2 linked regions of the Drosophila melanogaster genome follow. The gene in region 2 interacts genetically with the main gene of each other region. Each region holds a gene or a part of one and is shown on either strand. Other genes may lie near its edges. The genes, in order: Xbp1 and Rtca.

Region 1 (4,634 bases), on a different chromosome or scaffold from region 2:
TTGGCCGGTTTGTCCTCGTCGAAATCTTCAATGGTCGCCGTATCCATGGATTGGGAGGCGATGGGCAGTGATACGGGTGATTCCGGAACCGCATCCGGTGTCTTGCTCGTTGGTTCCGTCATTTCTGTTTAACCGTACACTCTATTGCATTTAAAAATTGTTTATCTTTCTGCAAAATCACAGGTATGTGGTTCGTAAGCAAAAACTGGTTCAAGTCTATAAACAACTTTTTCGAACTAGTTCCGAAACAAATTCGCTTTTGCTGGCGCATTAGGGTGGCTCTATTTATATTCTTTAAAAAATATATTTTTCGAGCTTAGCAAAATCTTGTTTAAATCCTAGTTCAGTTTGGAGAAAAACAGAGCTGTATTTCGTCTTATTAATGAATAATATACTAATAAATAAGGTGCATATATTTCAGAGCATAGTTGTGGTTTTATTTCACCTATCCGCATTATCTGCAGTCAGTTCAACTCACTTTTTGTAATATATATATATTTGGTTAATAAAAACAAAATGACTCATATGCTTACACCTAAAACTGTCCCATCATCTACGCAGAAATTGCGTCATAAAAAAGTGGCGTGATGCTAGAGAAGTGGCGTGATTAACTATTTATCATACGCAGTTCAAAGTTCTGTTTCGCCTAGAGTAAACAAAAACAAAGAGCTTGTTGTTTGGTTTGGTTTATATTTTGAATATTTTTTAGTCAAATGTTTTTTTTTCAAATTCTTTGAGCACAATACATACATATAAGAGTAATCATAAGCCTATGTGGTTAGAGATTGTTAAATATAAATGGAAACCTACAGCTAAACTTAGCGCTCTAACTACAGTATCATATATAAAGCCTTCGATTATGAATTTATGTACAGCCTATCAACTAAAAAACTTAAACAAACGGCGGCCGGCCAAACTTAACAATAAAAGAGAGACAGAACGAAGTTTTCAGCTTGAAAAACTCAGATCAAACTGGGAAACAGCTCGTCAAAGTTGCTCTCCCAGGGGAAATCGTCCTCATCTGCGGGCAGAGTGAGAGCCACGGATGTGGGAGAGCCCAGTATGGACTCGTATCCATGGTCCGAGGTGGCCGAGTGTAGAGACAATGCGGGGGATTTGGCCAACGGGGAGATCGCCTTAACGCGCGGACGTAGGAATCGGTCGATCGGATCGAAGCTTTCCTCGTCGTCCGAATTGTCGACGGCGTTCATCACGTTGAGATAGACCTGTGACGGAGACGTCGCTGGCGGCGGACACTTCATGATCACGTCCGTTGAGTCGTCGCCAGCGCTGACGCCGTCACAGTAGATCTCCTCGACGGCCTCGTTCACCGGCACCGCATCCCCGTCCATCACGATGGTGATCGAGTTCGTCTTGGCATCATACGTGCCGTACACTGTGTCCGGAGTGGCCTGTAGTTGCGAGGCGGCCGCTGTCGCTGTGATTGTGGCTGTTCTCGAGGCTGGCGCTGCTGTGGTATGCTGTGGGTTTCCATTTATCTTCAACATCTGCACATTTAGGCTGACCTTGTGCTCGGTTTCCTGTTCCTGCTCAACATTCAGGCCATTAGCTCTATGCCCGTCGGATTCCAAGCGCTCTGCTGCGGGCCCCACCATTGGTCCAGGCAATCGCTCTGCGTTGCCTGCATCTTGGGCAGCAGCTGGGCTGCTCGCTCCAGCGCCTGTTTCCAGGTCTGCTGTGATATCTGCGAGCAGACTTTCGGCCAGCTCTTCGAGGCGCTTGACGTCGAACTCTTCGTCGACGCCAAGCATGTCTTGTAGAGTAGGCAGAGGGCCACAACTTTCCAGAGTGAGGCCAGGCTCTTGCTGCTCTTCAGCTGCTCCGCCAGCAGACGCGCTGACGACTGTGTGTCCACCTGTTGTATACCCTGCGGCAGAGGGTCAGCTTTGGATGCTGCAGATCCAAGGTTGGTGGACGCACAGCCCTCAGCGCCTGCGCTGGCGTTGGATTGGCTGATGCATCTGGTGTTGTGCTGCTGTTGCTGCTTCAGTTCGGCGAGTTCTTGGCGCAGCAGCTCCAGCTCCGAGTCCAGCTTGTGGTTCTTGGCCAGCAGTGACTCGTTGATGGCCTGCAGGCTATCGCACTTGTTCTGTAGTATTTCCGTTCTGTCTGTCAGCTCCTTGATCTCGTAGTCCATCTCCTCCATGCGTGCCTTCTTGCGGTCACGCGATGTCTGGGCGGCCACACGGTTCTTTAGCTTCCTGTTGTTCGATAATAACAGTTAAATAAGGCGCTCAAATTTGGTTAAAAGTTGGGTGGACTTACTTTCTTTGCACTTTCTCCTCCCAGGTTAGATGGTCCAGGCGACGCTTCTTGGCCTTGGGCTGGGATGCAGCCATGTTATCGTCATCCATGTTCGACGAGGATGCGTATCCCGAACTCGAGGGCGTGGGCGAGGCGGAGGGCGTGGCCGACACCTTCAGCAGAGCTGCCGTAAGGGGGGCGGGCCGCAATTTGGGCAGATTATTCGATGTGATTGCTGTCCGCGGCACGGTAATTAGCACTGTGTTTGCTGTGGGTGCCATGTTTAACTGGTTCGGGGCTAAATGATAAACTGCTGTGTGCTGTGTGCAATTGTGAAAAGCGACTTTCCACTTAGATTTGCATTGTAAGAGCGTATTTTAACTTTTGCTTGTTTTAGGTCGTCTCATGAACTTCGACTGCGCTTCTCGGACGCTCTGCTGGTTTGAATCTCTTCATCGCCGCCGACTCGGGCTTTTCTGGCTCCGTCTCACGCAATTTTCTCATCCACCTTTGCAATATCGACCGACCAGTTTTCCTTTCTGCTGACGTGTTCTTTTCCGAATGGCTGTGAAAAGCTGACGTGTTTTTCTAGAAGAGTTGGGGTAATGAGGGATGGAGCAGCACGTATCGGGCTATCGATTACAAATTCAGTTAATTTAGAGCAACGATGATTTGTAAAAGCGCTTAAATGTATTGTAAATTTTTTTTTATTGGATTTAATAAATATATTGTAACATTTCAGGCAATATCTTAAAACAAAAAATAGTTCCTTAAATTTTTCACACAATTCATTTTAATATCCAAACATAGAACAACGACTATGCCATCTCGAATTGCGCATGGCAGTGTGACCGTCTATATCTCAATGTGGAACAGTAAAAACGAGAAAGGAAATTATTTGTTATAAAATGTATAAATTTATTTTCCGCGTTATTTGCAATTGCTTGATTAAAGGGGCATCTAAAACAGTGGTTGTTGTGGTTTCTTGCCCTTTTCTTTTTCGGCTTGTGCTAGTTCCTCCTTGATAACCTCGGCAATTTCATAGATATCAGGCTTGTGCTGGAAATTTTAGATGAATCCAATCAAAAGTAGTTGGGAAATGCGATCTTACCCTGAGTTGATTTATGTAGAAGGTGTAGGGAATGTGTCCAGTAATGGGATCAATTGCCACAGGCCACATAGCATCCAATTCTTCAGCGGAGAAAGGTTCTCCTTCCTCCGCCATTAATTTGCCGAAGTACTCCTTGGTCAGATATTTTTTATTTTCTGGATCCAGGGTCTCAAAGGCCTCGAGAAGCTTTTCCGACGAGGCTGGTTCCATTCTGTGGACAAATATCGTTAGTTGCTAAACAAACCTAAAGTATATTGAATAACTGTCGATCCATCAGCAGTTTGGAAACGTGTTCCATGAACTTCACCAAATGGGCTTCGCCTGGATAGTCGACGGAATCGGTGGCTTTAATGACATCTTCGACCTCTTTTTCGGTGGGCGCGCAACCTAAAAATCGGAGCACGTTGCCGACATTGCGGGAATCAATATACTTATCGCCATGAGTATCAAATATGCAAAATGCTTCCGAAATCTTTTCCTCGAGTTCGTTGTTTAGGGTAACTACAAAAGGTTAGTGATATCAAGCGGAGGTGCGATGCTCATTTTATGTAATGCCTACCACCAACTTCCATCGCGGGTATATACTTTAGAATTTAATAAATAAACTGATAATTTTAAAATACGATTTATTTTTTCCTGATTTATATGTTTTCTGATTGAAGCATTATTAAAGGTTTGCTGTTTATATTTCGAATTTGAAAATAACGATCGGAAATCGATAATGGCGCCAAGCAAAGGGTATCGCCCCTGTGGTCATACTAGGTGTGGTGAATATCGACCGATAAGCATCAGTCGATAACTGCCTGCGAAGCAGTCGTGTTGAGCGTCGCGTTATTTTGTTTTCTGTTTTGTTTTTCGTTTCGTGTTTTTAATTTGTTTCCCATTAATTTGCAATTAAAGTTGAGACAATCGTTTAGCTAAAGATTTCATGTTACCCAAACAGTGAAGTTCGAGACTTTCCAGTGCCTTTTAAAGGACGAAATAGACTGCATTTGCTTGTTGTCGCTGAGCATTTGCATCTGTGTGCGTCGTTTGGCAGCAACAGGTTTTCCAACTCAACTCAACGCGCCACCTCAGTTTTCATTTGTTTTCGATATTCCGTGGAGTGCGGTTCGCGTTGCGGGAAAATCGAATTGCAATTGAATGCAGCGTTAAATGGAAAACGAGCAACTCGTTTCACATATCGTCGCAGGTGTGTAACGTCGTTCGGCGATTCCAACGGGTTTTCCAGGAGGTTTTTGGCCCACAACAAGTTCAA
Region 2 (5,278 bases):
GTGGTGGACCGGATTGCGGCACTGCGTCGACGATGCGCGGATACGGGTGCATACCAGAACATTGCCTGCTTACGCACCAACGCCATGAAGTATCTGCCCAACTACTTCGTAAAGGGCCAGCTGGAGAAGATGTTCTTCCTCTACCCGGACCCACATTTCAAGCGCGCCAAGCACAAGTGGCGTATTATCAACCAGGCTCTACTCTCCGAATATGCCTATATCCTCAGGAAGGGGGTAAGTCCAACAGTTTCCTGAAAGTACTCGAAATGCGGTCTGCTTACTGCTTAGTCTGCTTACCCAGGGTCTGTTGTACACCATGACGGACGTTGAGGACTTGCACAAGTGGATAGTGACACATATGGAGGAGCATCCGCTGTACGAGCGTCTTACCGAAGAGGAGGCCGTACGTAGTTCAAAACCGAGATCACGCAGCCAAGTCACACATTAATCATTACGTTTAAACCCACAGAATGCTGATCCCATCACCCCGAAGCTGTACCAAAGCAGCGAGGAGGGCGCTAAGGTGGTTCGAAACAAGGGCGATCATTTTCTGGCCATTTTCCGGCGCCTTTAGGACACGTATATTCTCTATATATGTAGACATTAATTTAAGGTTTCCTTAGAGTAAAGAGATCTATCGATTGTTAAATCAACTTGTTCACATGTCCCAAGCCCTTGCAGCTGACTAGCATCTGGCCGCCGGGCTCCATCGCCACATCGAACTTGACCCCTGTCATTTGCTCGGCTACATTGATGGCGGTGCGCGTGTGATTGGTCAGCTTGCCTGTGCGCATCGTTGAGCGGCCCACGGCCAGGGCCATGTAGATGATGAGCTGGTCCTGCATGTAATCATCAACGCAGACCTGTTTGCGCATGTAGTCGCCCAGTTGGCACGACGCCTCTGAGCCGAGAACGTGTCCGTCGATCCTCTTTTTGCCCAATGCAGAAGCACCTAGGACAACGTCGGAGGTCGTGTTGACAGTCATCAGGATGCCGGCTCCGTTGTGGAATGCCTTCTGGCGTGAATGCTTAATCGGCTCGATGCTGCACTGCTGGGACGGCCACAAACGATGTATCTCGCGTTGAGCCGTCTGTTGCATGTCAATAGCAATATTTACCGGCAAGCGGCCGGCGCAGTAGGCCACTCCGCTGACCGATTTGATGCGGCCGAAAGCCACTAATTTTCCGGAATTCAGCTTGGTCACGGGTTGCACGTCCAACTGGCATCTGCCTTGGCCGCGTGGATAGAAGCCGTACCGCTGCACCTTCAGGTCGAAACTAACCCCGAAGTGTTTTAGGTTGGGCAGCAGCACCTCCTGCATGTATTCCACCGGAGGCGCAAAGTCGACGTTCGTGCCCCCGGATACGATCAGGCGGGACGGGCGTCCGGCAAAGAGAAGTACTGGGAGCGCCATCTGATAAATCAGAGTAATGCTGGCCGCCGTGTGCGTTTCCACGCGATACGTGTTGTCCAAAATGGTGCGCGGCGTGAACTCCACTGTGGAGGAGAGCAAGTAGTTTCCCACCACGTCCGCATTGGTTATGTCCCGCAGGAGGTTCAGCCCATGCAGGTGCTGGTGCGAGAGCCCAGGACTCGGGCGGCTGGCCCGGATCTTTACCACGCGCACCGGTTTACCCAAAATGCAGCTGAGGCTGAGGGCGTTGCGCAGGGCCTGCCCGCCGCCCTCCAAGTAGGAGCCGTCGATCTCCAACATTTTTTCCGCGTCCATTTTCCCAATTTATTTATGTTCAGGGATTTTCAGTCTGGTTTCCTCTCAGGTTGTCAGCCAAGTGTGTGTCAGAACAATCGGAGCAATCAAATATCACAATGACAGGGGCTAAGAATAACAGCTCCATTTCACTCGATTGGGACGGCACACTGTGATCCGGGCAGTGTGCCCGACGCTCGCGTTTGCTTGGAAACAAACACCTGCCACTGTGGAACCACTCAAGGCGCGCACCATTCGAACTGGTCCGGCAGCACTGGCCAGACGTAAACAAGCGAACTTTTACAAAATAATACATTACCAGCGCAATAGTTAAAAGTTAACTAGAGATGGCTGTGTAAGTGTGCAGTGTCCGCCGGCGCATGGTCGTACGTGCCGCCTTCAGGCGATTAACTTATCTGCAACGTGCCATCGCGAAGGCAATTATGTATCTTGTTCTAGTCCAGCTTAGCAGTGGTTTAACTGGCCCGAGGCATCGAAGGCGAATCACTTGGCAATTGGGCAATCGCTAGCTTGGTCCTCCTTCTCCACTGGAATGCTTGACTGGCCTTTTTGCCTGTCCGTGTCCAAAGTAGGAGGGCTGCAAATAAGAAAAAAGTAACTAATAACTAATACATTTAATTGAAACCACTTTCCGTTGGAAAATGCTCTTCGAGTTTTTAAGGCTCAACTGTATTTTGAGAGTCCCATTCCCTGGGTCTGATAAAAATAAGCCTATCCGCATAACTGGACTGTGTCAACATTCGCTCAAGCAGACATTGACGGAATGGGCTTAGGACATAATACACCTGACATGGCTTCCATGCGTATAGAATGATATTGAATGTGTACGCTCTTAAGAGCATTATTTTCGAACTCCTTAACCAAAGACAAGAATACAATGTGTCCAAAGATACAATGTTTACCTCGAGATAGCGAGATATCAACAATTTGTTCGGTACTATCCGTATCAACAGGTCTAAGGAACAGCCATTTCCCAATTACTTACGAAGGCAGTGACGGAAAATTTGGTTTACTTATCGTTCTGGTTATTCCACTCGAAGAGTCATGGCAACCGCAATAAAACGCTGGTATTTCGTGTTCTTGTTCTAGTTCCGCTGGCGGTGATGCAATTCTGCCGGCACTGACTGTGGCACGATGGGCTTAGCTCAGCTCAGCCAACAGGTACATATGTTGGTCGCCAAGTGCATTGGTCCGAATCGCGAAGAAGGCCAGCTATGTGTTACCCTCTACGACTTCTTGGTGCTGGCCACAGGCTGGTGGAGGAGATTGCTTCGAAGTGAAGTGCGGCGACGGCAAGGTCGCGAAGTTTTTGTTAGTGGAACACACGAGAATGGTCGGAAAGGCTGACAACTGCGGTCAGCGTTATAGTTTCCAGCGCTCTGCATTGGGTACCTCATAGGTAGTTTATCCTGCCAAGAAATTTTCTTGTTTCGTCTAGGTAGTCTTGGCGCTTGTTTCATCTATAATCGCATTATACACATGAGAGATGCATTGAACAGGGAGCGTTGCGATTACACAGTAGGGCTGGCTCCTAGTATCTTGACCGTTCCTGTGTCCACGGACACACACAGAGCCCAGAAGTGCGTGTGTGTTGGGGAGGCACGAAGCTTCCAGTTCCAGTCGAATCCAGCGACGAAGTTGCGCGCCATACGCGGTCCGCAGTTCACGCGCGCCAGACGTGCCTCGCATTGCATTGGCTCTTGCTCTCCCGGCTCTCTCGCAGCGTTCCTGGTCCACTCGACTCCACTTCGCTTATCTCGGCACAGACGCGGACCCCCGACCTGTTGCACGCTCCCAGGCTCTCATCCTCCCTTCCACGCGATATTCCAGTTGTTTTGTTTTTGTTTTGTTTAGTGTTGTTGTGGAGAGTGGTGAGTGATGATTGGCGACTAAAAGCAATTCGCAAATAAACAACGACGTGTGTTGTGTGTGCTGCAAAAAACAGCATCTCGGACACGTTTGGGGGAGTTCAGCACATCCATCTGCGGCTGATGACTCAGGCTGTGGAGGAATAATTAAATAGAAATGATTAACACGCGGGAACTAACTAACTGATAACGAGCTTTGGCACAGTGATTGATTGTTATTAAGTGAAAAGTAAAGCTCCTAAACTGGCCACTCAACTTTCAGGTGGCAGTCCCCTCGCACAGCTCTGAGCTTGGTCAAAACGAAACGAGCCTTTGAAGGCCTTCTGAGGATACGCAAGCTCCCGTCCAGCCAATCCTGGAGGATACTCAACGCCCCGTCTTTTGCGAGCCACATCAACAACCGCCTGTTAAACACAATGGGTTCCGTCAACTGCAAGGAGTACAAGACCACGGGCAGCACTCCCAAAAAGGAGAAGTCGACAGGTAAATGCACGATTTACAGATGAATAGTTTTCGAAAGGTCAATTGCCAAACAACAAGGCAAGGTCGCATTTCCAATTTGACTGCGCCACTTCTAATCTCGCAAATGGTTTCTTCCCAATAAAATAAGATCATCTTGCCCAAAAAAAAAGTTCCAAATGTACTTAAACCAATCCCTTCGTTTTCCGACTTCAATTCGAAAAGTGCGTGGTAATGTCGTAGATGATCCGATTGCCACCAGTGCCGTGTTCCTTTTACCAACTAAACGAGGCCAAATGGCTTGGAGTTGTGATTAGGAGAGTGGGAATGACCCGCATTAGATGGGTGTTTTCGGGCCGGGCGTAGGTGCCTAGATGATTGTCTCAGCGGCACAAGTCCAAGAGATTGGCAAAGAGATAGGGACGGCGGGAGGGCGCAACTTGCTTGAACTGCTGCTGCGTCATTGCCACAGTAGCTATCGATGCGGGAATACTTAATCCCGGGTACTAATTCCCCTAAAGCGACAGTTTCCCTGTGGATATCCAATAGCATGGCCATCTTTACCACCTTGAATGGAGTTACAGGAGCTCCTATGTATGGTTGCGACGCTCTGAAGTTTCCTGTTCTGAGTCTTACAGGGTATCTTTGCGTGTCTCTGTTAGGCAATGGCCACTGTACCACTGCGGTTAGTCACCGCCATCGGAATTTCGTCTGTGTTGTGTGCCTGCCTATTGTCTATTGCCATGTCTTGCATTCGTTCTCTTGGGCTCTCCAATGAGGCCCCAGTTCGCTTAAATTGGCTGCTCCAACGGCGGTCTCCAGTTCATTCGTTCGCCAACTGCCGGCAAGCTCTTAATATCAGACGGAACGTTCTCTTAGCTGCGGCCTGTCCGTCCTTTTCTGTGATACCCGATTTTGTGAGTTATATATTTCGGTGAAACTTGTTCTCGTGCAATTGTTATTATTATTATTATTTGGCCTGGCTTTTGACTCACTTGAGTTGGACAAGGCCAACCGGTTTGGTTTGCTCCCATGTATACGCGTCCGTGTGTGTGTGGAAAACGCAGCTGTGTTATTAACATGGCGAATCATTGCTAATTAGATGAGAGAACTGAAAGAGATTGGCAAATGTACAGTGCAGGGTCGAAGTTAACCGACTCGATGGAAAAGTTGTCCCTACATCTGTTTCGCTGGGTAATTCATGACTTGCTGTTTTTCATG

What was found.
Region 1: of Rtca (region 2) and Xbp1, changing one suppresses a phenotype caused by changing the other (phenotypic suppression), as found in Drosophila melanogaster (one study listed by BioGRID).

The regions. Positions count from the first base shown.
Region 1 is NT_033778.4:21,141,789-21,146,422, reverse strand, and holds Xbp1 (X box binding protein-1), read right to left. Parts: upstream 2,875-4,634; 5' UTR 2,547-2,874; coding exon 2,287-2,546; intron 2,223-2,286; coding exon 1,559-2,222; coding exon of another isoform or gene 963-1,558; 3' UTR 673-962; downstream 1-672. Other genes in the region: Hmg-2 (high mobility group protein 2), read right to left, coding at 1-122; CG9406 (uncharacterized protein), read right to left, coding at 3,226-3,324, 3,377-3,587, 3,640-3,877, 3,936-3,948.
Region 2 is NC_004354.4:2,070,163-2,075,440, reverse strand, and holds Rtca (RNA 3'-terminal phosphate cyclase), read right to left. Parts: upstream 3,029-5,278; 5' UTR 2,716-3,028; intron 2,325-2,715; exon of another isoform or gene 2,308-2,324; 5' UTR 1,731-2,307; coding exon 645-1,730; 3' UTR 575-644; downstream 1-574. Other genes in the region: CG4045 (uncharacterized protein), read left to right, coding at 1-234, 302-403, 470-574; CG4199 (uncharacterized protein), read left to right, coding at 4,015-4,081. UniProt on the Drosophila melanogaster protein: Catalyzes the conversion of 3'-phosphate to a 2',3'-cyclic phosphodiester at the end of RNA.